Linked DNA regions of Ovis aries. The protein of the gene in region 4 binds, or shares a complex with, the protein of the main gene of each other region. Links are inferred from orthologs where the notes say so. Each region holds a gene or a part of one and is shown on either strand. Other genes may lie near its edges. The genes, in order: GTF2F1, POLR2G, ERCC2, GTF2F2 and GTF2E2.

Region 1 (5,925 bases), on a different chromosome or scaffold from region 4:
CAGCAGTAAAGAATCCCAGTGCCAATGTAGGAAATGTGGGTTTGATCCCTGGGTTATGAAGATCCCCTGGAGGAGGAAATGGCAACCCACTCTGGTGGGTTGCCTGGTAAATCCCAAGGACAGAGGAGCCTGAAAGGATAAAATCCATGGGGTCTTAAAGACTCTGACACAACTTAATGACAAACAATAAACAAAGTTCACTAAGTGCGTTCACCAGGCACTCTGCCAAGCCCTTTATAGGAACGAAGTCATTCACCCCACACCCCAGCCTTCTGCTGAGGGTCCAGCTCCTCTCCCATTTTACAGTTGAGGACACAGAGGCTCAGTTGACAAAGCAGCAGCCAGTGTCCCCTGCCCTCAAGAGGCCCCTCAGCTCCTACATCCTCCTGGGAAGCCCCTCCCAATGGGCCCCCTCATCCCTCTGCTGCCGTGCCTGGGAGCTCTCACTGTTGGCACCAGGATCCCCTGCAGCATGAAGTCATGGATCTTCTGGCCCCACCAGGTGCCCCGTTGGGCCTCCTGCTGCAGCAGCTGGCCCAGCCCCATGTGGCAGAAGCCATACTTGGTTGCCATGTATTTGCACTGTGTCCCTTTTCCGCAGCCTGGACCGCCCATCACAAAGACGATCAGGGGGACTTGAGGATGTCTGCGTGCCTGAGGAAGAGGGACAGGGGAGAGGGGTTGGTGCCTGTAGGGGTCAGTTGGTGCTGAGGGGATTGTGTCCACAGTTACAATGGGTTACGCTGGACACATGTCTGCTGGAAGATCTATTTCTGCCCTAGGGTGGTATCTGGGGGTGTGTGTCCACACCCAGTGATATATCCAGGCACGGCACCCATTAATACTGCTATAGGTCATGTGGATGAGGTGTGAACCCAAGCAGGTCAGGCCCTTTGTGTGCAGCCTCTCCTCGAAGAATCACCCCTTTTACAGTTGAGGAAACTGAGGCTCTGAGACGGACAGGGACTTGTCCACCCCTCCAGTCTCATCCCATACCACCCTCCCCTTTCTTTACTGTTTCAGCCCAGTGGCCTCCTTTCAGACCCTTGTACTCATCACCTCCCTGTTGCTCCTCCCCGACCCCCACCCCTGCTGGAAGTCCATACTGCAGTCCCTTCAGGTTGCAGCTCACCCTTCAGCTAATCTCTGTCTAAAGAGCCTCCCACCCCATTGTTCCCAGTCTCAAAACCCTAATTCCCCACCACCCCACAAAAAGAATTCCATTTCCTCCAGTAATGGTCACTATCAGTAATGAGTCTGCCCGTTTACTTGTTCTTGTTTGTCTCCCCAGTCAGACTATGTACTACAAGAACACAGAATCTGTTTGTCTTCCTTGTCCCTGTATTTCTAGTACTTGGCATAGTTTCTGACATAATCGTAGCAAGTGAGGAGTAGATAAATGTCCATAACTATCAGAAACATCTATGGAGACCTGTAGTTTATAGTGCTGGCTTCCTACATTCCCCACGGACTTCCCAGAATCCAGCGCAGCAGGTGCTAAAAGTGAAAGTCAGTCAGTCAGTCAGTCAGGCGTGTCCGACTCTTTGTGACCCATGGAATTCTCCAGGCCAGAATACTGGAGTGGGTAGCCTTTCACTTCTCCAGGGGACCTTTCCAACCCAAGGATCAAACCCAGGTCTCCCGCATTGCAGGTGGATTCCTTACCAGCTGAGCCACAAGGGAAGCCCAGCAGGTGCTAACATGGATCACTGAATACCTGACCCTGAGCATGCGAAGTTGTGTTACAATAAGGTAGGGGGCCGGGAGGAAGGGCGTGTGCACACCTGGACTTGAGGAGGGGTTACCTGCATTCTCCCGCCCTCCATAACCTCCTTCCCTTCTCCCGAGTAAACCAGCCACCCCCGCGATGTTTCCCTTCTTCTGGGGCCTCAGGGGCCTGCCTATTTGGGGCAGTTTGGACTTGCACAAACCCAACCCGCCTGAGGCCCGTGGGGTGAGCGCACTCCATCCCCTACACAGGCCCTGACCTCTCCTAGTTCGGTTCAACGTCACAAGGGCCCCTGGCCCGATTATTTGGCGAGATGATAGGGCTACCCCCGGGGGCTGTGGGGAGAAATGAACCCCAAAGAGGCTCAGGTAGAGCCGCAGCAGTCGGCTGCCAAGGAGGCCTCGGTTGCTGTGGTAACGCGACCTCCCCGGACTCACTTCCGCAGTAAAGTAGCGCATGCGCAAATGGCCCGACAGGCCGCGAGGGTGGCGGGTTTCCTCCCTTCCTTCCCAAGATACCCCGCGGTCCTGAGATGTAATGTCACTGGGGGCGTCTTCACGTCACCTGTTTGGGTTATCCGCGTGATGAGGTTATCGGCCTGATGGGATTATCGTGCTATACAAACTGCGGGCCGCCAGAGCGCTAGATACAGAAGGCGCTACCTTCAGTTGGGAGTAGGTTGCTTCCCCTAGGCCTGCGGGAGGATTTCGATTCCGGTTTAGGCGGCTGCGCAGGCGCAGACTTGGCACAGGCGGTCTCAAGCCAATCGCCGACCCAGTGCCGCCTCCGGATAGCTTTCCCCAGGATCGGTTGTATCCCGGGCCGGAGACCGGACACCTCGAGGGCGGCCTCCGAGGGACGCGCACCCGGAGGGAGGCGTAAAGAAAGGTTCTGATCAGACCCGGGTCAATCGCCCATCGCCCATGGCGGCCCTCGTAAGTGTGCGGCCAGGCGGTTCGGCTGCGGTCCCGGTGGCCTCTGTAGCCTCTCACTCACTGTCCTGCTTTCTCTCCCCTCAGGGCCCCAGCAGCCAGAATGTCACTGAGTATGTCGTCCGAGTTCCCAAGTAAGTCCCTGACCCTACCAACCCCCTTTCCCTCCAGAAAAGGATTAAAATCTCGAGGTTCCAGGAGTGTCTGATTCTTCTTCCAGGGCTGGGGTTGAGCCGAGGCCTCTGGGGCATCACTGTTTTTTTAACAGAGTGAATGAATAAGTACATTAATATACAGTAACACGCAGCCTGCCTGCCTAGGATTCCCTCAGCCAGGAATGGCAACAGTGACTCTACTGGGTGGATTCTTTTTGATCCTGCGAAATTCCGTTACAGTATTTTCCTCCTTCAGGAGGCAGTCCCTGCCTGTCCACCCCGCTGCCCAGGGCTGAGTTCCCAATTATCCCATCTTGAGTTCCCAGAAATATTTGTCCTTAACTGATCTCTGGGGTTTTTTTCATGGGTCCCCAGCGTTGCCCAGCACAAAGAACTGAGCCTGGGAGGGTTTGCTGAATTAATGAATGATTAACTGAGCACTGCCTCTTTTTGCCCATACCAGAAATACCACCAAAAAATACAATATCATGGCTTTCAATGCAGCCGATAAAGTCAACCTCACTACTTGGAATCAGGTAAGTCCGAGTTCTGAGGCTGTGAGAAAACCTGACCCTGGATTTGATGTAATAGTTGCTTGGTTGTGATAGTAACTAAGGCTTAGGATCCTCCCCTCTCCCCACGTGCAGATAAATGATAACTAAGGCCCAGGCTGAGCCTCTGGGCACCCCTGAGGACAAGATATGTGTGGCCTTGCAGGAGGCTTTCTTCTGAAATTTGTGCCCACTGATGGGCATTCTGGGTCGAGATCTATCTGGGCAAGAGAGGAGGGGGCTGCCTCCTAGAGGTGACTCAGAGCCCCTATTGTTGGAGACTCCAGAGCGGTCTTTAGAAACTGTTTTAGTTGCAGGCTGCTCTAGCAGAATTCCAGAGACTGGGTGGTTTGTAAACAACAGACATTTATTTCCCACAGTTCTGGAGGCTGGAAGTCCAAGATCAGGGCGCCAGCAGATCTGGTGTCCTGGTTCATAGCTGGTGCCTTTGCACTGTACTCTCACCTGGGTACACAGCACTCTGGAATCCTTTGTTAAAGAGGGCACTTATCTCACTCCTAATAGGCTGCAGCCTCACAACCTAATCATCATCTATCAGAGGCCCCGCCCCCAAATACCATCACACCGGAAATTAGGTTATATGCATTTGGGGAGAATTCCCTGTAGATACAGCGGTTAGGACTCCAGCTAGGACTCTAGCCCATTCACTGCTGGGGGCCTAGGTTCCATCCCTGGTGGGGGAACTAAGATTCCAGAAGTCCGAGATCACAGCCAAAAAGAATGCATTTTGGAGGCATGCAAACATTCATCCATAGCAGAGGCTATTAAAGGGTTACAAACAGTCTGTAAAGAGATTTGTCCACTGTGGGGTCGAGGGCAAGTGAAGGGAGAACAGGGCGGAGGTGAAGGCTCTGGACCAGGTGAGCCTGTGATGGGGTTTGCAGCAAACAGGTTACGAGAAGTTATTGGACTCTGGGGTGTCTTTTTTTCTTTTTTTCTTTTTTAATTTTTCATTTGGAAATAACTTCAAACTTTCAAAAAGCTGCAAAAACAGACATCGCAGCGGGCTTTAGACAGATCCCTTCGCCCACATTCACAGAGCCTCTTTTCGCCAAGCGGGAAGTTGGCTCAGAGGGTCCACCGCTCAGCCTGCGGGGAGGAAGGGGTGTTGTTGGATGGGGAGCAGGCTGCCTGATGAGAAGTCTCGCCTTCCGTCTCCCAGGCCCGGCTGGAACGAGACCTGAGCAACAAGAAGATTTACCAAGAGGAGGAGATGCCGGAGTCGGGCGCCGGCAGCGAGTTCAACCGCAAGCTCCGGGAGGAGGCGCGGAGGAAGAAGTACGGCATTGTCCTCAAGGAGTTCCGGCCGGAGGACCAGCCCTGGCTGCTGCGGGTCAACGGTAAATCAGGCCGAAAGTAAGTGCCCCTTCCCGCCACTCCCCGGTACCCTTGGCCGAACTTCTAGGTCCTGCAGCTGGGGGTGACAGCTCATCCACCCATGAAGGGGTTTTCTTGGGGAAGATGAGCCAAGGGGTTGCTCGAGTGTGTGCTAGGGATGCAGGAATCCCGGCCTGCCGTCCTCCTGCGCCCAGCCAAGGACTGCCCAGAGCTGAGGGTTGAGAACCATGGGGGAGACAGAGATTAAGGGAAATGAAGGGCACTCTGGTTGAACAGCGAGCACGAAGGCGTGAAACATCGAGCCCCAGGGACTGTCACAGCGCACGACAGTGGCAGAGTGGGTGGACTGAGAGGGCTGAGAGTGCCAGGGCACAGCGGGACTGTGGGTAGGCTGGGGCCCAGGGCAGCCTGAAGGCTGTAGGTGGGGAAGGGGCACTCTGTAAGACTGCCTGCACATGGTGGGGCAGAAAAGGGGAAGGATGGAGGCCCGGAGGGAGCTGGGCTGGCAGTGGTTCAAGGAAGATTCCGGAGGGGAATCCAGAGGGGTCTGACACTAGAGCACTGTGCTCTTTAGGGCCCATCTAACAGGTCCTTCCAGAAAGGACCATGTCGTGTATAGTGCACAGGAGCCCTAAGTCTGCTCTGTGAGGGCAGGAAGCCCACCTTTTCCAGATGTGGGAATCCAGGCTCAGGCAGTCAGCGGGCCAGCCTTCCAGCCTCAGGTTTTGCTAGGAGAACCCAGATGGCCCTGGAGAGAGGGATGCAGGGGGTGTTGTCTGGATGTGGCACTAGTCCTTCTTCCCCACACAGACTGTGACCTTGAACTCCCTGCAGGTTCAAGGGCATAAAGAAGGGCGGCGTGACAGAAAACACCTCCTACTACATCTTCACCCAGTGCCCTGATGGGGCTTTCGAGGCCTTCCCTGTCCACAACTGGTATAACTTCACGCCGCTGGCCAAGCACCGCACGCTCACGGCCGAGGAGGCTGAGGAGGAGTGGGAGAGGTGAGTGATGGGGCCACGCCTAGAAAAGGGCTGCAACCCCCCGACATTGTGCCTGGCTGGGAGCTGGGGACTCAGCGGTGAGCAAGCCAGATCTCTCCACTGCTCAGGAGCACCCAGTCCAGGGGGCAGATGGACTGGAGACAGCGGGGAGAGGGACTGGAGAAGTGGGGAGTTGGATCCGGTGCTAGGGTGTC
Region 2 (6,138 bases), on a different chromosome or scaffold from region 4:
AGCAAACAAACAAACTGTGCTGACAACACCAAGTGCTGGTGAGGATGTCAGAGCAACTGAAACTCTTATACTTGTAATTGCATATACAGTTATATATAACACTTACACCAGACAGACACAATGGGTATAAATAACTTGAAGAGCATTTGTAATAGTAAACTCTATTAAACAGGAAGTGAGAGTTTTAAGACTCTGACTCTAATTACTATGTGTGTGTGTTTTTTCTCCCATACTTCCAAGCAAATCACAAACACCAGATAAGTGTCCTACAATTTAACTCAGTTCTGACACCATCAGCACAAAGATAACACAGGTTTCCACATGTTAAGATCGCAGCTCTACAAGGCTGCCCTACAAGGCTGCCCTCCCCTTCCAATGGCAATTTTAAGTCAGGCTGTTCACTTTCACTTTTCACTTTCCTGCATTGGAGAAGGAAATGGCAACCCACTCCAACATTCTTGCCTGGAGAATCCCAGGGACGGGGGAGCCTGGTGGGCTGCCGTCTATGGGGTCGCACAGGGTCGGACACGACTGAAGCGACTGAGCAGCAGTCAGCTGTGTTTCTGACTGGGAAAAGGGCGTGGACCTCCCATACTCCATCCGAACTCACCACTCTCCCCAGTTCTCCAGGTCTTCACCAACCCTAGACTCTCTGAACCACATCCACTTGGTTTTATGGAGATTTTCACCGCACTGGCAAGGTTGATTAGTTCATTAGCCGGGTCAGGGAGTTGAGACTGAAAGTTCCAACCCTCCAGTCACTTGGTTGTCTCTCCTGGCTTAGGTGCTTTCCAAAATTCACTTCACTGATAAAAACTCAGGTGTGGCTGAAAGAGGTTTGTTATGAATATCAAGGTATCATTATCATTTAGGCAATTCCAAGGGTTTTAGGAGTTCTGTGACAGAAATGGGGAAGAAGACCAAGTATATATGTGTTGGTGTTTTTATTATAAATATCACAGTTACTTTTGTCTTGTTTCAAATTTTTTATTATGAACAATTTCAAACGCAGAAAAGTAGAAGAAAGTGTAAGAAACCACCATTATCCATCATCTGTCTTCAACGATTATTAATATATTGCTAAACTTGTTTCATCTACGTCTTTGCCTTCTTTAGTATAATTCATTTAATCATAAGTTAAGACAACTAAATTTTTCATAACTGCTGTGTTTAACAACTGGCTTGCAAAGTGCCTGAAATATTAACAGTTGGCTTTTGTAAGGGTCTCCAGCACACCACACCATTGCTCTTGCGGGGAGGCTGGTTTCAAAAGAGGGAAGGAGGGAGTTGAGGCTGTTGAGGCCTGCCCTTTGATCTGCTGTCTGCTTCCTCATGTGGTCTCTGGTGGAGGGGATCCCCATGGAGTCTGAGCAGCTGACCAACAACCTCAATCGTTCTAGGAAATGGGCAGCATCAATGGAAACCGGTGTGTGACAGCTCTAAGGAAATCAGGCTTTCTTGCTTACAATATACTAAAACTTGCTCAGGCAACAGGCGAGTTTGTTCAAGACCCCAGGGACTGTGGAGGCTTTAGAACCAGCCGCCCTTGCTGAGCCTTTGTCATAGGGGCGGGTCTCATGGTGTTTCCGAGACTCAGCAGCCCACAGACTACATGCTCATTCTCGTTGTGCTGAGTTTAATAAAGGGACTATCTGCAAAAGGGGGGGGTAGAGCTGAAGGAACAGGTAAAGTTTGCTCACCAGTTCTACAGGCCCTTGTGTGTAAGGGGGCGGGGGAGGGTGGTTAGAGGAGAGCAGTGACTTGAGGTTCTTTTCACACCGGGAGGGGGCGCTGCCTTCTGGGCTCTGACTAGGCCGGTTTCAACTCCAAACTACAAGAGCCCGGTAATAAATGCCTGAATATGCAAGAGCCTTGGAGTCAGGCATGTTGAATTTGAATCTCGACCCTGGGTGACCTCACCCTTCTGAGCCTGGTATCTTATTTGTAAATGAAAGTAATAACAAAGCCTGCCGGGTAGGGTTGCTGTTTAGATTAATTGAGATAAGGATAGCTTCTTACTATGCTTACTATGTGAAAGCAGTCTTCAACTCTTTGCAGAATGAATAGACTCTGCTAAAGCGCTTTATTTATGCGATCTCTCATTAATTAATTCCTTTTAAAGGTATTTATTAAGCATCTAATCTATGCGAGATACTGTTATGCTTAAGGGAGTTGGGCGCTTTGACGGCTGGACGGAGGGGAGGAGCCTCATGGGTTTCCCCACCCACGACAGCGAAGCCCAATGGGGACCCGTGGAGGCTGTGAGTCCCGCCCACTTTTCGGGGCAGGCCCGGAAACGGGGTTGGAGAGGTTGCTGTATTTCCGGTCGGTGTGGCGGCTCCGCTGCTCGTGAAGCGGTAGACCCGGCTCCTGTTCAGCTTCCTTCGGGAAGATGTTTTACCACGTGAGCAGGGCACGGGGTGGCGGCGAGGGCAGGGTCAAGAGGAGGAGCAAGCGGAAGGCCGGGACTAGGGGCGGCTTCTTGCCTCATACTCCTCCCGCTCCTTGCCCGACTCCATTCCAGTTTCCCCCCAGATTTCCCTGGAGCACGAGATTCTGCTGCACCCGCGATACTTCGGCCCTAACTTGCTCAACACGGTGAAACAAAAGCTCTTCACCGAGGTGGAGGGGACCTGCACCGGCAAGTGAGTGTCGCACCCTCCCTGCCGCCTAAACACTGCGCACACGGCTTTCTATGCTTGCACCCGCTTCCCAGCGCCTACACACCGTGAAAGCTTCTGCTACCTACCCTGGCAAGCCCTCTCACCCTTCCAGGCAGTTAGCTGCTTCCTGCTTTGGGTTCCTACGGTGCCCTCTGTGAAGCTCCATAACAGAACTGCCTTTCCTCAGCCAACATTTGTCATTAACTCTGCAAACATTTCTGAAGCTCCGGCTGTGTGCCAGGACTGGGCCCTGGGAACAATGCAGTGAAAAAGACAAAATGAGGTCAGCCCTTTCTTTATCCCTCATACCCAGGGACCTGGCATGGTACATCTTGGGCCTCACTAAAAGCTTGTTGAATGAATGAATGGGCAGGATAAGGCAGATTGAGAGTTAACCGGAGGAAGGAAGAGGAGTGAGACTTGACCATCTCTGGGCTCTGCACAGAGGCGCTCCGCACATGGTGAAGTAAATGAGGGGGGAGGAGCAGGGCCGCAGAGTACTCAGGTATCCAGCATCAGAGTAAGCTGAGGTGTTCTTTGAACATACAGGTTCCTGAGCCTCATCTCATTTCTACAGCATCAAGACTGGGGACCAGCCCGGGAACAGGCATTTTAATGTTTCTCTCAGGTGATTCTGAGACATCGCCAAGGTTGAGATTAAGGACTGCAGCCCTTTTGGACACTGATTGTGAAATTATGAGAGCAGCGTTTGGCATTATAGCTGCTGCTGATTGTCCTGTCTCCTCTCTTGATCATTAAGCTCTCCTGGGGCCAGGGGGCCGACTACTCCCCCCTCTGTGCTCCCCCTTTACCTCTAGGGTCCGTGACTCTTGCAGCAGATGCTTTTTTGTATTTTTTTCCTGGCTGCGTTGGGTCTTCGTTGTTGCACGAGCTTTCTGTAGTCGCAGCAGAAATGAGAAGTGTGTGGGTTTCTCATTGTGGTAGCTTCTCTTGTTGAGGCACACGGGCTCTAGGGCTTGGGCTTAGTAGTTGCAGCGCACTGGCTTAGCTGTTCTGTGGCGTGTGGAATCTTCGGGGACCAGGGATTGAACTTGCGTCCCCTGAATTGGCAGGGGACTTCTTAACCACTGGGCCACCAGGGAAGCCCTGCTGTGGCAGATGGTTTCAGAGGCTCTTCCACACACAGTGTCTCAGTTTCTCTGCCTCCTTGCAGGTATGGCTTTGTAATTGCCGTCACCACCATCGACAATATCGGTGCTGGTGTGATCCAGCCAGGCCGAGGCTTTGTCCTTTATCCAGTTAAGTACAAGGCCATTGTTTTCCGGCCCTTTAAAGGGGAGGTCGTGGATGCGGTGGTAACTCAGGTCAACAAGGTAAGAGCATCCACAGGGGAGGTAGTGGGAAGGTCCCTCTCTTAGAAGATCTGGGATGGGTCCCACTTTGGTCAAATTCTGTGTCTTTGGTCAGATCACTTCTCTGTGCTTCAGGTTTCCTCACCTGTCAAATAGTATGGTACTGCCTCACTCAGGGGCATGTAAGTCAATAGTGAGTCAGAACAGTAGTAGCCTCCACTGTGGACCAGGTAGTGTGCAAAGCCTCTGACTCTGAAATGAGTGCTTTTATCTCCACGCTGAAGCTTGGAGAAGTTGAGTCTTCTGGCCACGGTCACGTGTCCAACAAGTGTTCAAAACCCAGAAGGACAAGTTCTAGGTCTCAGCTGTTTACTGCTACACTTCCTTAGCTTAGAATGAAAGCTTGGAAAAACAAACACACACATGACAAATTTCAGAGTGGTTTCAGAATATGAAGAACATTGTTAGGAACCAGATAAAGATGGGAGGCTTAGGAGACTGGGGGACAAAAGAAAAAGCAAGGTCTCTCTTTTCCCTTCTAGGTTGGACTCTTCACAGAAATCGGGCCCATGTCCTGCTTCATCTCTCGACACGTAAGTCTAGGCACGCTGGGTGGGTCTAAGAAGGAGACCTGTACTCATGAGAATCTACTGAAGCATCCTTTTCAAGTGCTCTTACCCAGTTTGACCTTCCTTTCAGTCCATCCCATCAGAGATGGAATTTGATCCTAACTCCAACCCACCGTGTTACAAAACGATGGATGAGGTGAGTGGGCAGAAGTTGGTGAGAGGGCCAGGGGAATGAGCCACTCTGAGGGAGGGTATTGGCCTGGGGGTTTCTGAGTGTACTGTTCCCTCCTCCCCAGGACATTGTGATTCAGCAGGACGATGAGATCCGCTTGAAGATCGTGGGGACCCGTGTGGACAAGAATGACATCGTGAGTCTCCTGACTGCCTCCCTGCTCATACCAGGCCGAGCTGTTGCATTCTTGCTACTCAGAGTTCTTGGGGATTTTGTGCTCTTCTGCCCGGAAAAAGAGATGGGTGGGCAGAAGGTCTGGGGCTGAGGGTTAGAGGAGAGCTCTCTGCTTGCTTTGGGTTCATTTCCATTTCTCCTTTCCTCCTGCAGTTTGCTATCGGCTCCCTGATGGATGATTACTTGGGTGAGTTCCAGGGTTGTTGTCTAGAGGAGGGGTGTGTGGGCGCAGGAGGTGAATATGGAATTTAATGCCTGAGCCACTGTTGAAAGAAACTCTCATGTTGTCTGCTTGGAAGACCAAGGACACTTGCCCCCTGGAATGAGAAGTGCATGGTTAGGGCTGTCCCAAGCTCTGGTTCTAACCACTGTGCTTTTTCTGTTTTCGGCAGGGCTTGTGAGCTGAGCACCATGACCTACCTTGTTGGGTCCCTATCTAGGAGGTGTGACTGTCACACTTCCCATGTTGTCCAGAGGCCCAGTCTGGCTGCTGTCGGGGAGGCAAGGAGGGTTCCTTGCCTTCAGAAGACACCTGGCTCTTCTTGTGGCTTAGCAACCACTCCCAGATTTTTGACTGTGCGTTCTAACCATAAAAGGTCCTTGATTTTCATGGAAGTGTCATCTCCTTTCTTTGGCAAGAACAACTCATTTTGTGAAAAGGCTGGAGGGCTGGTGGCTTGCTAGCCCCTCTTTTCTAGGCCTGATGCCTTAACTAGCCTCAGCCACCAGGGGATCTGACTGACCCTCTTGCCAAGGTCTCAAGTTGACCTCACTGAAGGTAAGGCTGTAGCGTTGGGTCGTTGTTGTACAGTCGCTTATCATGTCCGACTCTTTGCAACCCCATGGACTGCTGCTTGCCAGGCTTCCCACTGTCTCCCAGAGTTTGTTGGGTCTTTGATTTTCAGCAAATGGTTGTATCCTTAGAGCGACTCTGGTCTAGGGCCCCGGTCTAGTTTCAGAGAATTTGCCCTCTTCTCAAAGCCTTTAAAATAACCAAGATTGTAGCTGGGAAGGGGGAAGAGGAGACATCAGGGTTGGGGAGGTGAATAGTAGAACAGTAATGATACAGATTGTGGGGTCCCAGTCCTTAGGATGGGCACATAAACAATAGCCTTTGTTTGCTACTCAATTAATATACTAACTGAACATATGAAAGGGCTCATAATCTCATTGGGATAACACAACAA
Region 3 (5,440 bases), on a different chromosome or scaffold from region 4:
TCCCTGGCCCCCAGACAACGTCTGCATCGACTCCATGAGTGTCAACCTCACCCGCCGCACCCTGGATCGGTGCCAGGCCAACCTGGAGACCCTGCAGAAGACGGTGCTCAGGTGGGGGTGCCCCGGCCCGTAGACCTTGGCACCTGACCTGCCCCCCAAGTGGCCCAGCTCTTCCACACCTCGACTCCCCGCAGGATCAAGGAGACGGACGAGCAGCGACTTCGAGAGGAGTACCGCCGCCTGGTGGAGGGGCTGCGGGAGGCCAGCGCCGCCCGGGAGACTGATGCCCACCTGGCCAACCCCGTGCTGCCCGACGAAGTGCTGAAGGGTGAGCCGTGCCCCCGCCTCGCGCCCCCTTCCCCTGCGCCCCCCCCCGCCCCGCCTCTCCCCACCCGTCCCCTCCCCTGCGCCCCCCGCCCTGCGACCCCCACCCGGCGCCTGGCTGAGCCGGTCTCCCCGCAGAGGCGGTGCCCGGCTCCATCCGCACGGCCGAGCACTTCCTGGGCTTCCTGCGCCGCCTGTTGGAGTACGTCAAGTGGCGCCTGCGGGTGCAGCATGTGGTCCAGGAGAGCCCGCCCGCCTTCCTCAGCGGCCTGGCCCAGCGCGTCTGCATCCAGCGCAAGCCCCTCAGGTGCGGCTGCCGCGGGGGCTGGGCGTGGGAGGGGTCCCGGTGGGGATGTGGGGTGGGCGCCCTTGTCAGTAGCCATGATCAGAGAACTGACCTCGGGAAGTGTGATGGAAGACTGTGTGCAGAGGGAGGGGGGCGGCGGCGAGACCCCAGGGCCCTGGCCAGTGCTCAGGGGTGTTCTCACTCCAGGCCATGGAGGGAGTGGCCCTGGAGAGGGGCTCCTGATGAGGGCCAGCGGGATGGGAGCTGGGAGAAAATGCTGTGGGCCCCTCACTCCCTGTTTCCTCCTGCCAGGGCCTCTCATTGCCCCCCAGCCCCTGGGCAGGAGCCAGCCCCTCAGGTGCAGTCTGGGGGCAGGGCCAGTGATGAGGGGCTCTGGAGTGGGGGTGGAGCTTCCTCTGCTTTTCCTTTGTGCTGTGGATCAGTCTTTGGTCTTCTCTGAACCTCAGTTTTCCTCCTCTGTGCAAGGGGTAGGGGGTCAGCCCCTTTACCCCCAGGTTCCTGTGGTGGTTTAATGACAAAGCAGCGACCCCAGGAACCCACCCCGTCTAGAGCACTGATGACAAGCCGAGTGCTTCGCAGTCCACGGCCCGGGGACACAACACGGAGTTCCCGCCTTGTGCTGCCGATGAGGACGCTGTGTCCCGTGGAGGGGAAGCCTCCCGGCACTGTGTGTGGTTGTGACCAGAAGCCCTGCCGGTGGGGCTCTGAGGCTCCTGGCTGCTCTGCCTCTGAGGAGGTGGGAGCCCTTGGTGCGGCTTCACCCTTCTTCCCTCACGAGAGACTTGTGAGGACAGAGGGGATCTGAGTCACAGGGTCCGTGTTCCGAGGGCCTGCTCTGTGCTGGGGACACAGCAATGATGGAGACGGCCCTGGCCCTGCCCTCCTGGGCTCACAGTCCAGTTGGGGAGACAGACCTTTCCCAGACAGGGTCAGTCCAGGGCTCAGGGTGGGGGGGTGTCCTGGAGGCTGCAGGAACACAGGGGCCGTCTGATCGAGCCTGGGGGATAGGCAGACTGGAAGAAAGGACATACAGGAGACAGGTTTTATTCACTTTATTTCTTATTTTTCTTGGGCACACTGCTCGGCATGTGGGATCTAGTTCCCTGACCAGGGCTTGAACCTGGGCCCCCTGCATTGGGTGTCTTAACCACTGGCCCACCAGGGAAGTCCCAGGAGGCAGGTTTTAAACTTGACTGTCTGCCTGGCGCCAAAGCTGGGTGCTCCCGCTCCACACACGGCCTGTCCCTGCCTCAAGCTGGGTGGCCTTGCTTGTGTGCCGTTGGTAGAGCCTGTGTCAGGCTCAGTGAGGGAGGAGCCGTCACCGAGGCCATCATCTGGGAGCGTGCGGAACTCTAACGCTGTGTCACTGAGGACTGTGGCCGAGACTGACCTTGTGGAGATCCGGGCGGGAGTGTGTGACCCTGTGGCCGTGTGGCGTTCACGTGCTGACCGTGGGATGCTGGGGGTGGTCGTGGGTCGCCCCTTTTGATTGAGAACCTGTGTATGAGAGCGTTACCTCATGTGACAGGACTGTGTGGCTCTGGAGTGTTAGTCGCTCAGTCATGTCTGACTCTGTGCTACCCCCTGGACTGTAGCCCACCAGGCTCCTCTGTCCATGGGATTCTCCAGGCGAGAATACTGGAGTGGATTGCCATGCCCTTCTCCAGGGAGTCTTCCTGACCCAGGAAGGGTCTCCTGCCTTACAGGCAGATTCCTCACAGTCTAAGAATTTGGGCGGTGACTCTGGGTTGTGAGATTATTGCTCTGTGTGCCCTCCTGTGGCTGTGCCCCCCGTGATGGGCAGTGGTACAAGGTGGGGACACAGAGTGACCCAGACCCTGACCTCCCGGAGCTGCCAGGTGGCTGGGGAGACGGCATGTGAGCACGTGCTCTGACGGTGACGAGGGGGCTATCCAGCCTGCAGCCACCACCTCCCTCACCTGCCCGCCCCCCACCCCACCAGGTTCTGCGCCGAGCGCCTCCGCTCCCTCTTGCACACCTTGGAGATCTCGGACCTCACTGACTTCTCCCCACTTACCCTCCTCGCTAACTTCGCCACGCTTGTCAGTACCTACGCGAAGGGTAAGCTCGCCTCTTCCTGCCTCTGCCGGCCCCCAGCAGCTGGAATTGGGATCCGGCAGGGCCTAGAGGGTAGCCCCTGGGAGAGTACCCAGAGGGTAGCCCAGCCTCTGAAGTTTGGACTTTATTTATTTGTTTTAAAATTTATTAGCCACGCCGGTCTTAGTTGTGACGTGCAGGATCTTTAGTTGCGGCATGTGGGATCTAGTTCCCTGACCAGGGATCAAACCCAGGCCCCCGGTGTTGGGAGTGCAGGGTTTTAGCCCCTGGACCACCAGGGAAGTGCTCTGGGCCTTATTTTGAGGGCAGTGGGGAGCCACAAACAGCCCTTGAGTGAGTGAGCCTTGTGCTCAGGAGGGTATTTTTAAAGGCTCTCTCTGGCTGCAGATGGAGGTGGGTGGGGGTGGGCAGTGGCGTGAGGAGAGGAAGGAGAGAATCTGCGGGGTCCGCTCACCCTGGGGGGCATGTGGGGGGGGGTGGTCATTCTCCCAGCGGCACTGGGGAGCCATGGCAGGTTCTGAACAGGGAGAGGTAGGGGCAGATTGCGCTTTAGAGGATTCTTCTGGCAGAGGCTGGGCCAGGACGGGGTGGGGTGCTAGAGAGAGTCGTGGGAGGTCAAGAGGCCGCGACTTGGTGCCTGGTCGTGCGGGGCCTTGGGGGGAGGACGCTCAGATTTCCAGCCTGCTGGGAGGGTACAGGGGAGCATTCTGCCCCCAACTCATCAGCTTTAAGCTGCCAAGGGCTCAGTCTCATCCCCGGGGATTACTCCTCTATCCAGCAAACTAGGTCAGCCTGTCTGACGGCCCGCGGGCGGGCCTGGCCTTGGCAGGAAGATAGCCCGTCCCCACCCCAGCGCCGATGGGCAGCAAGTGTCACTGGAATCTTCTTTCTGCCTCTGTCCCTCTGTCCATCCCATCCTCCTCCTTGGTCTGTCCGTCCTCCTCTCTTCCCCACTTCTCCATCTACCGACACCTCACATTCTTGTACCTGGAACAGCTTTCCCCATCTTCCCAACTGTCTTCCCTGTCACCCCTCAGTTCTTGGCTCAGGAGAGACGTCTCCTCCTCCTCCAGGAAGCCCCTCTGGCTCCGAGGCTGGGCCAGGCCCTCTCCTTTAGGCTCCCCTGTCCCAGCCTTCCCACTCAGAGTGGTCACTCTGGAGACAGCTCTGTGTCCCTATCCTTGGACTGTGAGTCCTGAGAGGGCGAGGCCAGGGTTGTCTCGGTCACTGCTGTGTTCCCAGTCCTGGGCTTGGCACAGAGGACATGATGATATTTTTAAAAACATCTTTGCGAAGTGAAATTGATTATGCGGATGCGTTCATTCATTTATTTGCTCAATAAATGGGCCAGGCCCAGCCCTGGGGAGATGGCAGGAACCATGAACGACCTCATTCCTGACCTCCCAGAACTTAAATTCTAGCAGGGAAGACAGGTAGCAAAGATGTAAATGTGGGTACGGAAGATAATTCCAGAAAGTGATAGTTTTCACGAGACACAAACATGGCACTGTGTTGGACCATGCACACAGTGTCGGCGGTGACCAGGGCAGCTTTCCTGAGGAGCTGACATTTGAGCTGGGTTCTGAATGACCAGGAGCCAGCCGCCTCAGGAAGCTTTTCAGACAGTGGGGCACGTGCAGAGGCCCTGGGGTGGAATGACTCTGGTGGGGTTGTTCTTTTGTGTGTGTGACCTTGGTGGTTTTGAAAGTCAGGCAGGAAGCCCGTGAGCACAGAGGGAAGGGGGTTGGGGTGGCAGGATCCCCCTGACAGTTCTGGACCCTGGGAGGGTCGTGGGGAGCCCTGGGGGCTTCTGAGCAGGGAGGGATGTGGCCTGACTCGAGTTCAAGGATCCTCTGGCCGCTGTGAAGGGAGCGGGGATGAGGAGCGACTGCAGTGGGCCAGGCAGGGGGCGATGGCGGCCGGTCTGGGCGGGGCTGGGGAGGCGCTCAGAGGGCAGCTGGACTTTGGAGGAGAGCTGACCAGCCTCCTGACCGCTCAGTGGAGGAGAGCTGACCAGCCTCCTGACGGCTCAGACAAAAACTGGCGGGAGAAGGCTGGAGGCCTTGGCTGGAGGGGCGTGGTGGGCCCCTGTGGGCCCCGGAGGGCGAGGGGTGAGCCTTTGGTGCCCGGCTCAGGGTCCTCTGTGAACATTCACACAGGTGTCGGCCCAAGGGAGGGGCGGGCAGGTTGGGGTATATATTGGACTCAGGGGCCTGGGTTGTAGCGTTGGGCTTCTGATGGCTGGTGGCATTCACTGAGGAACGTGAGGGGAGGGGGAGTGGAGTGGAGGGAGAAAGTGGGGGGTCGTGGCCGAGTGGGCGGAGTCATGCCTGGCCCTCAAGGAATCCCGCCGGCCCCCTGTAGGTTTCACCATCATCATCGAGCCCTTTGACGACAGGACCCCGACCATTGCCAACCCCATCCTGCACTTCAGGTGAGATCCCACCCCCGGGGGGATGTCAGCGGACCACAGGGCCCTGGCCCTCACCACCCTGGTCTGCTCCCTACAGCTGCATGGACGCCTCACTGGCCATCAAACCCGTGTTCGAGCGCTTCCAGTCCGTCATCATCACATCTGGGGTAAGGACCCTGCCTTCTGGCCTCCAGCCCTCCCCGGGGGCTCCTGGCTCCTGCCCAGTCCTGCTGAGATCCCTCTGCTGTCCCCGCTGTAGACACTGTCCCCGCTGGACATCTACCCCAAGATCCTGGACTTCCACCCCGTCACCATGG
Region 4 (6,111 bases):
TCCCTGGGTCAGGAAGATCCCCTGGAGGAGGAAATGGCAACCCAGTATTCTTGCCTGAAAAACCCCATGGACAGAGGAGCCTTGCAGCTACAGCCCAAAGGGTTGCTAAGAGTCAGATACGACTGAGTGGCTGAGCACAAGCCTGGCAATCCCAGGAACCTGTGCAAGAATCTTGTGTTAAGGGTATAGGGTCATGGCGGAGGGACATAAAGCTGGATCAGATCTGGCTGCAGGATCTGTTCCCATGTTGGTCTCCAAAGTAAATCTGTGAACCCGTTTCACGGAGCCCCATCCTCTTTTCCTTTAGTGGCCCATTAGCATTCTCTTAAAGCTGGAAGGAAATTTGAAAAGGACAAATAGGAGAAGTCTGTTCTTATTCAACAATGTCTGAGGATGATTGTTGTACCCGATCCCTGTAAACACACACACACATTTTAAAACTTCCCATTAGCCATAGATCAAAGCCAATGTCCTAATCCTTTACTCTGAAGTTCATTACTAGGGTGATCTAGGTTATGTTAATTCTCTTCTCATATGGTCTTATATTTCAATTTATTCCTTCTTTTTTATTTTTTAAAGGAGTCAAACTCTTTTTAAAAATTATTTATTTATATATTTATTATTTTGGGTTGGGCTGAGTCATTGCTGCATGTGGGCTTTCTCTAGATGCAGTGAGCCAGGGCTACTCTTAGTTGAGGTTCATGGACTTCTCACTGCAGTGGCGTCTCTAGCTGTGGAGCACAGGCTCTAGGCACAAGAGCTTCAGTAATTGCAGCTTGCAGGCTCAGGAGTTGTGGCTCATGGGCTCTAGAGCACAGGCTCCGTAGTTATGGCGTACAAGCTTAGCTGTCCCGCAGCATGTGGAATCTTCCCAGACTAGGGAACGAACCTATGGCCCCTTGCATGGGCAGGCAGATTCGTTTCATATCCACTGCACCACCAGGGAAGTCCAATTTATTCCTTCTATTTGACCAAAGCTTAAAGCAGCTCTCTTTATCCACTTGTCCTTTTTATATTTTTAAGGCCATTTCTTGAGCCTTAAAGAACACACAAGACTGTGATCTTCCTCTTCAACATGTTCCTGATCTCCTGTTTTTCCTGTTAGGTTTCCCCAGCTGATCTCAGAGCCCTGACAGCTTTTCCTAGCCCTAGGCTGAATAGACATGGAATTTCTTCAATTCTGTGTATGGTTCTGATGCAGGATTCAATACGTCACTTGCCATTCTTACAATATCTTACTGTTTGTTTCTTTTCATGCAAATGTTCATTCAGCCAAAGCCTACTGAAATCTGATGTGGTGTCAGCTTTGTGCCAGATGCTTTGATTAAACAACAAGAAAACCCACCATTTCTGCCTAGGAAGAGCGCATAGTCTAGAAAGCAAAGGCAGTATGTAAACGAGTGCATTATAGCTCATCGTGCTAAGTAACGCACACTGTGACGGGAAGAAAAAATTATCTTCCTCTGGGGGAGTTGATAGAAGGTCTCATAGGAAGAGACATTTCCATTAATCTTGAAACCTAAGTAGGTGTCTGCCAATCAGAAGGCAGTACGGGAAGAATAGGGCATCTGAGTAAAGGGAATCCAGTGTGCAGAGGCTCTGAATAATTGAGGAACATTCTGATACGTTCCGGGAGGTCTGACGGGTTAGATGGGCTTAGATGCGTGGTGCATTGAGTACACCACACTTTGATGAGGTCAAACTGTGAGGGCCTATGTGGAGAGGACTGAATTTTATTCTAGAGGCAAGAAGAGAGAGGGGAGACTCTTTAAGCAGGGGAGTTGAACAATCAGAGTTTTCTGTTACATGTCTATTGTCATTGACGTCATGAAACGGCTCCAAACTTGCGGACACAGCCGGGAAAGGAGAGGGCGCGACAGACTGCCAGCGTACCACTGACATGTATACACCACCATGTGTAAAAAGCGATTAATAGCTCGTGGGTAGTTGCTGTAGCGCACAGGGAGCTCAGGTCGGGGTTCTCTGACAACCTAGAGGGGTGGGATAGAGGTGGGGTTGGAGGGGGGCTCAAGACGGAGGGGACTTATGTACACTTACAGCTGATTCATGTTGTCGTAGAGCAGAAACTAACATAACATTGTAAAGCGCTTATACTCCAATTAAAAATAAATTAAAAACAATAGCAAACAAAAAACAAAGGGCTCTGGGTTTTGGAGTCTTAAAGGGGTGCGCCCTACTCGTTTAACTGAAGGTGCTCAGGGTAGCCTTTCAATAAAGACCACTCTGCTAATTCATTTTATTCATTTCTCCTACCTGTCCTCCAAATGCTGTCTTTCTCTCCTTGGCCTGGATTGGACATACACTGACAGCCTTTGTCTCTTTAAACCCCGTTTTTCTGTTTTGACACTTTCTTCTGTTACTCTGACCTGGTCTTTATATGTACTGCTGATGTTTGCGCCCATCCCAACCTCGTTTTCAATTACTCAGACACAGTCCCTGGAAGTAGCCACGCCCACTCAAGAAGGTGCACGCCGATGAAGTTTGTCCTCAGTAGCGCGCCGTACTGACGGCCGCAGTGCGCAGGCGCAGTTCCCCGCTGCCGGCCGTGTGTGTTCTTCTTTCCCAGGGCTCCCGGCATCCCGGAAGTTGGACCGCGGGCTCTTCACAGTCAACCTCCGGCCAGGGTTCGCCGTGTGCTTCGCTCCCTCGTCCCGCAGTCACCCGCTCCCGGGGCCGCTGCTCTAAGTCCGCAGGTCTCCGCCGGCGACAGACCCATGGCCGAGCGCGGAGAACTCGACCTGACTGGCGCCAAACAGAACACCGGAGTGTGGCTGGTCAAGGTAAGGTTTGCGTGGCTCTCGCTTTTAAAGTAGTTTAAGTGACTTGAGGGGAGAAGGAACTGGCAACCCACTCCAGTACTCTTGCCTGGGAAATTCCATGGACGGAGGAGCCTGGTGGGCTACAGTCCATGGGGTCTCAAAGGGTCGGATACGACTGAGCGACTTCACTTTCTTTCTATAGTTCCTTTGGGAGAAGGAAGTGGCAACCCACTGCGGTGTTCTTGCCTGGAGAACCCCATGGACAGAGGGGCCTGGTGGGCTGCAGTCTATGGGGTTATAAAGAGTCGGACACGACTGAGCAACTAACATACACGCGCGCGCACACACACGCACACACACACACGTAACTTGAGACCGTCCCACTTTGTGCACCTTTTAAAACTCATTAGGGCTCTCTCGTTTAGAACTTCGCTTACCTTGAGAGGCAGGGTTGGTTGGTAGGCTTGTTTGCAGACGAGGACATTAGTTCAGGGACACCCAGTGTGTTTTAGCCAACTAAGAGTCTGAACGTGCCTGGAATGGATCTCCTTATCCCACGACCTGGTTTTTCTGGGCTCCTGTCTTGATGGCCCCCCAGTTTGAGCATTTTATCCCAGGCTGAAGAATTTCTTCATCTCCACTTGCTGAAACTGATTTCAGTCATCAATCTCTATAAGAAAGTTGAGCGTTTGCTTTCTGGGTAGTTTTCTGAGCCAGAAAGTAGAACTGTTCTCTGAGTACCCTGGTGGCTCAGATGGTAAAGCATCTGCCTGCAATTCAGGAGACCCAGGTTCGATCCCTGGGTGGGGAAGATCCCCTGGAGAAGGGAATGGCAGCCCACTTCAGTATCCTTGCCTGGAAAATCCCTTTTGAAGGAGCCTGATAAGTTACAGTCCATGGGGTCCCAAAGAGTTGGACAGGACTAAGTGACTTCACTTTCACTCGTAAGGTGTTCTTTTAGGTTGATGGGTCTTATGGAGTTCCCAGGAGAGGTGAGAGTGCTCTGAACTCAGGGAAGGAGAGACTGTGGACTGGAGTGTTCTTTTAGAGTTCGATTGTGTCTCAGGTGAAACTGTCAGTAATTTTTTTTTTTTTTGGTAAAGGCAGCATTTTGATTAACCCTTAGTAAGTACTTACTGAGCTTCCCTTGTGGCTCAGCTGGTAAGGAATCCACTTGCAATGTGGGAGACCTAGGTTCGATCCCTGGGTTGGGAAGATCCCCTGGAGGAGGGAAAGGCTACCCACTCCGGTATTCTGGCCTAGAGAATTCCATGGACTGTATAGTCCATGGGGTCGCAAAGAGTCAGACACTGAGCAACCTTCACTTCTTCACTTAGTGAGTACACTATTTATCCCTTACTTTTTCAAATTGGGGACTGTTGTTTCTTAGGAAGTTTTCATAAGACATGTGTATATTCAAAATGTGATTATGATAGTCTTGAAAACTCAAGTAAAACATAGAGACCTTTATTTGTTAGATTTTTGGAAAGCTTTTATCACACGTCTGAGTGTTTATCAGTTAAATCTGAGAGGCCCTTCTAGTCTTCCTCTCTGATGTAGCTCCCTTATGATTCAGTTCGGTCGCTCAGTTGTGTCTGACTCTGCGACCCCATGAACTGCAGCACACCAGGCTTCTTTGTCCATCACCGATTCCCGGAGCTTACTCAAACTCATGTTCATTGAGTCGGTGATGCCATCCAACCATCTCATCTTCTGTAGTCCCCTGCTCCTGCCCTTATGATTATTCACTAGCATGTTGAGCCTGTATTAACATTCTTCAAAGCACATGCACAGTCATATTTCGCGAGAGTAGGCGTCTTGCCTGTCACCCAGAACTGTGTTTGGTGTAAGGTAAATAGCTCAGATAATGTGATGTATGCATGCATGAATGAATGACTGAATGAACTCTTATTCTTCAACCCTAGCCTTAATCTCTGGTGCTGCTTTGACTTATCACAGTGATATCAGTGTGATTTAAAATGATGGAGTAACCAAGTATCTCTCTCCTCCTGCATGCTAGATGGAGAGAGATCATTAGGGAGGAGATCTCCTTTGCAGATGGAAAGAGCTTGAAAAGGTGGCGAGAGCTTGAGGTGATGTGTTTCTGCTTGGAGCGCAGTAGATGCTCAATAAATGTTTGCCTTACAGAGGTTTGGATGGGGGGCCATAGTATCTCCGTAGCATACCATGGAGAGTGGTTCTGAAATGCAGGAGTGAGAATGCACAGTAATGTGGTGTGGGCTGGAAAACAAAGAGGACATCATGCCTGGAGTAGCGGATTGGGACCGTATACTGACATCATCACGTTGTGAAGTGGGAATGTTTTAACACTGCTGCTGCTGCTGCTAAGTCACTTCAGTCATGTCCGACTCTTCGTGACCCCATAGACGGCAGCCCACCAGGCTCCCCCGTCCCAGGGATTCTCCAGACAAGAACACTGGAGTGGGTTGCCATTTCCTTCTCTAATGCATGAAAGTGAAAAGTGAAAGTGAAGTCGCTCAGTCATGTCCGACTGTTTGAGACCCCATGGACTGCAGCCCACCAGGCTCCCCCGTCCATGGGATTTTTCAGGCAAGAGTACTGGAGTGGGGTGCCATTGCCTTCTCCAGTTTTAACTCTAGTCTACAGGAAATGAGGAGACTCTTGGAGGGTTTTGAGTAAGGCAGGGATACAAATGATTCTTTAAGCGGGGTGGGGCAGGGGGGAAGCTTGAAGAGAAGATAACCAGAGTCAAAATTAGGAAATTATCACAGGATCCTAGACATTTGATAGTGAAGTCTCAGGAGTTAGGGAAACTTTTTCAGCAAAAGTTGTCAGGATGTGGTGACTGACTAAATGAGGATGTAAGAGAAAGTTACAAATCTAAACTAAAGAAATTTTAGTGTTCTCTCTTATATGGCCATTTGAATATATTTTATTGCTTTAAAAAGAGGTCTTACTAATGATAGTTCAAATTAGAATTTTTCTGTTCAAATTAGAATTTGAATAGAACTGCATACAATTTTAAATCTTTTCGGTAGACGTTCATATTTCTTATTATAAATCATGCCTTGAGCTCTGATCTTTGAGGATCATTTGTTGCAAAATATGTGAGTTCCTACAGTGTCGCAAGTTTATGGGCCATTTCTGTTCCTAATTAATTTGTTCATTATTAATTTCCTCACTAGACAAGGGAAAGGAAAATTACAGTAAGAGTTATACATACAAGCTCTCTCAGAGTTTTAGGCAGTGAAAAAGTTACCGGGTGGAATCAGGGAAGACTTCATGGGGAAGCTGGCATTTACGAAGAGCCTATGGAGTTGATTAGTTGGAGGAGGGGAAATAGTTCCAG
Region 5 (5,440 bases), on a different chromosome or scaffold from region 4:
GAATCTTGGTGTACGCAAAGTTTTGTTTGTGTCTTTCAAGACTGGAGTCTGCTTCCCCTAGTCCTGTGAAAGTCTTAGAATCAAATCCTGCTGACTTTCAAGGTCAGATTCCCTGGGGATTCTCAGTCCCTTTGTTGGGTCCCCAGGCTGGGAATCCTGATGTGGGGCTTCAAACCTTCACTACAGTGGGAGAACTTCTTTGCTATTATTGTTCTCCAGTTTGTGGGTCACCCACCTGGTGAGTGTGGGATTTGATTTTATCCTGATTGTGCCCCTCCTACCGTCTCACTGTGGCTTCTTTGCCTTTGGACATGGGGTATCTTTTTTTGGTAGTTTCCAGAATCCTCCTGTTAATGGCTGTTGAACAGCTAGTTTTGATTTTGGTGTTCTTGCAGCAGATGAGCACACGTCCTTCTACTGTGCCATCTTGAGCTGGAAGTCCTCCATTCCCAATTTTGTTCCATGTTCAGTTGTAACTGTTGCTTGTTGACCTGCCTACAGGTTTCTTAGGTAAGGTGGTCTGGTATTCCCATCTCTTTTAGAAATTTCCACAGTTTGTTGTGATTCGCACAGTCAAAAGCTTTAGCATAGTCGATAAGCAGAAGTAGATGTTTTTGGAATTCCCTTGCTTTTTCCATGATCCAACAGATGTTGGCAGTTTGAGCTCTGGTTTCTCTGCATTTTCTAAATCCAGCTTGTACATCTGGGAGTTCTTCGTACATGTACTGTTGAAGCCTAGCATGAAAGATTTTGAGCATTACCTTGCTAGCATGTGAATGAGCACAATTGTGCTGCAGTTTGAACATTCTTTGGCATTGCCTTTCTTCGGGATTAGAATGAAAACTGACCTTTTCCAGTCCTGTGGCCACTGCTGAGTTGTCCAAACTTGCTGACATATTGAGTGTGGCACTTTCACAGCATCATCTTTTAGGATTTGAAATAGCTCAGCTGAAATTAAATCACCTCCACAAATTATATCACCTCCACTAGTTTTGTTTGTCAAAATACTTCCTAAGGTGCGCTTGACTTCACATTCCAGAATGTCTGGCTCTAGGTGAGTAATCACACCATTGTGGTTTTCTGTGTCATTAAGACCTTTTTTATACAGTTCATGATGTACTCTGCACATAACCATTTGCATTTCCACCAGCAAAGAAGGAGAGTCCTGTTCTCCACATCCTCACCAGCATTTGGTCTCAACATATTTTTCTTAATAGTTTGTATTGGACATCTTTGCAGATCAGCACATTGCGAACACCTGTATTTTCTTTTTTAACATCTGTATAGTAGCATTGATATGCTGTAATTTAATCAGTCCTCTGTTGATGGGCCCTTGTTGTTCAGACACTCAGGTGTGCCCAACTCTTTGCGACCCCATGGACTGCAGCACGCCGGGCTTCCCTCTCCTTCACTATCTCCTGAGGTTTGCTCAGACTCAGGTCCATTGATGGCTACTTGAGTTGTTTCTAATATTTTCCTTTTAAAAGGAGGCTGCAGGTAACTTTTCTGCTTTTCTATGTTGTAGTTCTTCTAGGGTGAATGCTCAGAATTGGATTTGCTAGATTAAGGGTTTCAGTGCATTTCTGTTGCCAAATTCCCTTCCAAGGAATCATATCAATTTGCATTGTTTACCATCGGTGTGTTAGAGGGCCTGTTTCCTTATAGCCTTACCAATTGAGTTGTCAAATAAGGATTTTTGCCAGTGTAATAGATGAGAAATATCTTAGTGGAAGTTGAGTATCTTTTCCTCCATTGATGGTCATTAGCGTTTCTTTTTTTGTGATTTGTATGTTCCTGTTTTGGGGTCCTTTTCTTGTTAGCTTTTTGGAACTGTTCAAATGTTAGGAAGGTTAACTTTTTGTGATAAGAATTACAAATATTTTTTCTCATTTTATTGTTTGATTTTATGTAGCTTCAAGTTTGAACTCAGTTCTGATTTTATAGTCCATTCTCTTCTTCACTATAATTGTACTGCTTCAAATAATTACACATTCTACATTCCTGAAAAGATTCATTTACCCTGTTATTTAATACACCTAGCATTTTAAAACCGTCTTCAAATAGCAATTTCTTCCTTCAATAGACACGACATCAGCGAGGAGATACACATCCTCTTACTTTAGAAGAAATTTTGGATGAAACGCAACATTTAGATATTGGACTCAAGCAGAAGCAATGGCTAATGAGTGAGGTAAGAATAGTCTTAAATTATCGTAAAAAATTTTTTTTACTGTAAGTAGGGTTTTCATATGCTGAAATCTGATGTTTTTTCTTGAATTGGTATAGGGTTTTTTTTTTAAACATACACATTTTGAGATTGATTTGTTTTTGTATATTCTGTGTATCTATTTTAAAATGTTGGAGACAGTAGCATTAAAGTTGTAAAGAAGTCAGTCACTACTAATTTTTAAGTTTTTACAGAATAATTGATGCTTATTTTGAATTGCTTAATTTGTAATGTATGTATTTGACAGATTGTATTGTTTCTATGTTTTGGGACATTTAAAGCTTGAAGTATTATAGGGAAAGCAAAATATTTTGTTAAGAAATATATTTGTTGTACTGCTACTGCTATTATGAGTTGACAGTGATGTTACTGCATCTGGCAAGTCACTTGGAAAAATAACCACGAATATTTTGTATATATACACACAACATTGGAAGAAAATGAATCTGAAAACAATCAGTGACTGTGTTGATTTGGAAATGAGTAGCACTTTAAAATAAAAATTGAGATATTTGTCTCTTTTCTGGCTAAGTATGAAATGACAATTCATTAAAGCAACTTTCTAAGACCAGTGCTGATTTTAAATGTAAACTTCTAAAATAGAGTTCAGTTTATTTTACCAAGCAAGATAGTCTTGATTTTCATAATGTAAAATGAACTAGTTAGGCAGTATCATTGTGGCTCATATTAGTAATCCACATTTTTGATGCTTTTCCTAATTGTGAAATTTCATGGATTACTGACATTAGGTAAAGGTTATTTTAATTACTGTTCTGTTCTCATTTCTTCTGTTTTTTTATCCTTTCATGGTCAGGCTGGCAGCTGTAGAAGAAAATAAAATGGTTGCTCTTTCTTGAAGAGCTTTCCTTCTGGTATTAGTTATACAACAGGACTGACTGGGAACATAATTATATTCAGAAATTTCTGTGTTCCTTCTCAGTTTCAGTCTCAACTGACATTTTGGTAATTTCGTATCTGTACTTCTCTGGTCCTTTTGAAGTCCTTCTACAGCTGCTAGTGCCTTTTGATAACATGTAGACAGACTGATTTTTGATATGTTCATCCCAGGGGAATGTTTTTCACGTTATAATTCTGATATGTGATACTTTAAGGGTGGGTAGGCAGTGGCTATTGATGTTAATAGGTGTGTTTTTGATTCTCACCTCTTTTGTCTTCTGAAACAATATGGGTACATTTTCTTCAAAGCAGTTCTAATAAACTGGTTTTTTTCTTATCCAGAGATTCTATGTGAATAATAAAGTTTTTTTTTTTTAATAAAAAGTGAGCACCGTGCTGATCTCTGCCTGTTGTTTTAGCCTATTGATAGATAGCCTGTTTTTTAGATCTGTTGATATCCACAAGATACTTTTAATTTGCCTCTGTATTAGGTATTGTTGTTTTTTTAGTATTAGTAGAATTAAATAATGTATGTATGGTATTTCCTTTTGTTAATATGTTGAAATTGTGTCACTGTTTCAGGCACTAGTCAATAATCCCAAAATTGAAGTAGTAGATGGAAAGTATGCCTTTAAGCCCAAGTACAACTTGAAAGATAAGAAGGCTCTGCTTAGGCTCTTGGATCAGCATGACCAGCGAGGCTTAGGAGGGATTCTTCTAGAAGACATCGAGGAAGGATTGCCCAATTCCCAGAAAGCTGTCAAGGTAACCCCTCTCTTCTTTCTACACCTTAATATAACTTGAATTGATACTGTCTTTTGGCTTTAAAAAACATCGACTTAAAAAAAAATTATTTTAAAACCATCTCCATCATCAGTTGAAGATTTGAAATTTGTGTTTTGTGCTATAGAACAGGACAGAGCATAGTCATTTTTGTGTAACTTTGACATCTTTCTCATGTTGTTGTATATAATTGATTCTTCAAAATGCGTCTGGAAAGATTTCCTCAATGGCATTAGTGTTTTTCTTTTAAGTTGTTAATGTTTGTATTCAAGGATTCCTTCAACAGCACTTGGGCACATTGCCAACCCGAGGGAACCAGAGGCTTTAAAACACAAAAGCACTGACTGATAACTTGGTTTTGCATTCTGAAAGGGGCAGTCAGTAAATGTGATAGAGACTATATTTCTAGTTTGAATTTTCGACTCTCTTGGGAAGGCTGCTAGTCTCTGTTAGTCACAGTTGCTAATGACTGCTGCTAATCTGGAAGATTTAAGTTCTTTTTTTTTTTTTTTTTTGCTACCCATGGAGAAAGCTTGCTTCTTTCTCTCCTCTTCTTGGTAGTTCAGTTACACGTGTTGGGTCTTTTTGGTATTGTCCCACTAGTGCCTTGCGGGGGAGGTGGGGGAGGTGTGTGTGTACGCGCATATGTGTGTGCCTGCTTTTGGATTTTTTTTGTCCTATTGATCTGTTGTTAATTATACTGACTTTTCTTTTTTACCTTCAATTTGTTATTAAGCCGATTTGGTAAATTTTTTTTTACTAGTATAGATGTTTTATCAGTGTTCACAATCAGTAGCCAGACAAAAAGGATAATTACAGTTGCAAGCCATAATGGGAACATGATTAACCTAACAATATGCAGTAATTACATACAATTTGAGGGGTCAAGCAGAGTGGTAAGCGGAAGTGCATAAATGCACATGTTTTCATCCTCTCAGCCAGTCTGTGTGTTTTGCTTGGTGCATTAAATCCATTTACATTTAAGATAATTATTGATATGTATAATTTGTTTTGGCTTCCCTGGTGGCTCAGAGGTTAAAGCTTCTGCCTGCAGTGCTGGTTCGATCCTTGGGTTGGGAAGATCCCCTGGAGAAGGAAATGGCAACCCGCTCCAGTAGTCTTGCCTGGAGAATCCCATGGATGGAGGAGCCTGGTGGGCTACTGTCCATGGGATCACAAAGAGTCAGACACGACTGAGTGACTTCATTTACTTACTTCACTTATGATTTGTTTTGGGTTTGTTTTTTTGTAAGTCTTTTTTCCTTTTCTTGTGTTTCCTGCCTACAGAAGTACCTTTGGCATTTGTTGTAAAGCTGGTTGGGTGGTGCTGAATTCTCTGAACTTTTGTTTGTCTAGAAAGCTTTTGATTGCTCCATCAAATCTGAAGAAGAATATTACTGGGTAGAGTATCTTGGTTTTAGATTCTTCCGTTTCATCATTTTAAATATATTGTGCCATTCCCTTCTGGCTTGTAGAGTTTCTGTTCAGAAATCACCTGATAGACTGATGGGAATTCCCTTGTATGTTATTTGT

The links.
Region 1: GTF2F2 (region 4) and GTF2F1 share a complex: the UniProt entries of both Homo sapiens proteins name them as parts of the TBP-based Pol II pre-initiation complex. The link is inferred for Ovis aries from reciprocal best matches to the Homo sapiens genes GTF2F2 and GTF2F1.
Region 2: GTF2F2 (region 4) and POLR2G share a complex: the UniProt entries of both Homo sapiens proteins name them as parts of the TBP-based Pol II pre-initiation complex. The link is inferred for Ovis aries from reciprocal best matches to the Homo sapiens genes GTF2F2 and POLR2G.
Region 3: GTF2F2 (region 4) and ERCC2 share a complex: the UniProt entries of both Homo sapiens proteins name them as parts of the TBP-based Pol II pre-initiation complex. The link is inferred for Ovis aries from reciprocal best matches to the Homo sapiens genes GTF2F2 and ERCC2.
Region 5: GTF2F2 (region 4) and GTF2E2 share a complex: the UniProt entries of both Homo sapiens proteins name them as parts of the TBP-based Pol II pre-initiation complex. The link is inferred for Ovis aries from reciprocal best matches to the Homo sapiens genes GTF2F2 and GTF2E2.

Annotation. Positions count from the first base shown.
Region 1 is NC_056058.1:15,922,881-15,928,805, forward strand, and holds the start of GTF2F1 (general transcription factor IIF subunit 1), read left to right. Parts: upstream 1-2,240; 5' UTR 2,241-2,652; coding exon 2,653-2,664; intron 2,665-2,748; coding exon 2,749-2,795; intron 2,796-3,279; coding exon 3,280-3,352; intron 3,353-4,550; coding exon 4,551-4,744; intron 4,745-5,560; coding exon 5,561-5,731; intron 5,732-5,925. UniProt on the Homo sapiens protein: TFIIF is a general transcription initiation factor that binds to RNA polymerase II and helps to recruit it to the initiation complex in collaboration with TFIIB. It promotes transcription elongation.
Region 2 is NC_056074.1:37,614,784-37,620,921, forward strand, and holds POLR2G (DNA-directed RNA polymerase II subunit RPB7), read left to right. Parts: upstream 1-2,313; 5' UTR 2,314-2,392; coding exon 2,393-2,404; intron 2,405-2,535; coding exon 2,536-2,645; intron 2,646-3,837; coding exon 3,838-3,997; intron 3,998-4,518; coding exon 4,519-4,569; intron 4,570-4,675; coding exon 4,676-4,741; intron 4,742-4,841; coding exon 4,842-5,042; 3' UTR 5,043-5,104; coding exon of another isoform or gene 5,105-5,203; 3' UTR 5,204-5,343; coding exon of another isoform or gene 5,344-5,357; 3' UTR 5,358-5,561; downstream 5,562-6,138. UniProt on the Homo sapiens protein: Core component of RNA polymerase II (Pol II), a DNA-dependent RNA polymerase which synthesizes mRNA precursors and many functional non-coding RNAs using the four ribonucleoside triphosphates as substrates.
Region 3 is NC_056067.1:52,773,219-52,778,658, reverse strand, and holds part of ERCC2 (general transcription and DNA repair factor IIH helicase subunit XPD), read left to right. Parts: intron 1-14; coding exon 15-111; intron 112-194; coding exon 195-328; intron 329-462; coding exon 463-631; intron 632-2,594; coding exon 2,595-2,713; intron 2,714-5,074; coding exon 5,075-5,144; intron 5,145-5,220; coding exon 5,221-5,290; intron 5,291-5,382; coding exon 5,383-5,440. UniProt on the Homo sapiens protein: ATP-dependent 5'-3' DNA helicase. Component of the general transcription and DNA repair factor IIH (TFIIH) core complex, not absolutely essential for minimal transcription in vitro.
Region 4 is NC_056063.1:15,655,871-15,661,981, forward strand, and holds the start of GTF2F2 (general transcription factor IIF subunit 2), read left to right. Parts: upstream 1-2,602; 5' UTR 2,603-2,735; coding exon 2,736-2,801; intron 2,802-6,111. UniProt on the Homo sapiens protein: TFIIF is a general transcription initiation factor that binds to RNA polymerase II and helps to recruit it to the initiation complex in collaboration with TFIIB.
Region 5 is NC_056079.1:25,876,045-25,881,484, reverse strand, and holds part of GTF2E2 (transcription initiation factor IIE subunit beta), read left to right. Parts: intron 1-2,083; coding exon 2,084-2,191; intron 2,192-3,706; coding exon 3,707-3,889; intron 3,890-5,440. UniProt on the Homo sapiens protein: Recruits TFIIH to the initiation complex and stimulates the RNA polymerase II C-terminal domain kinase and DNA-dependent ATPase activities of TFIIH. Both TFIIH and TFIIE are required for promoter clearance by RNA polymerase.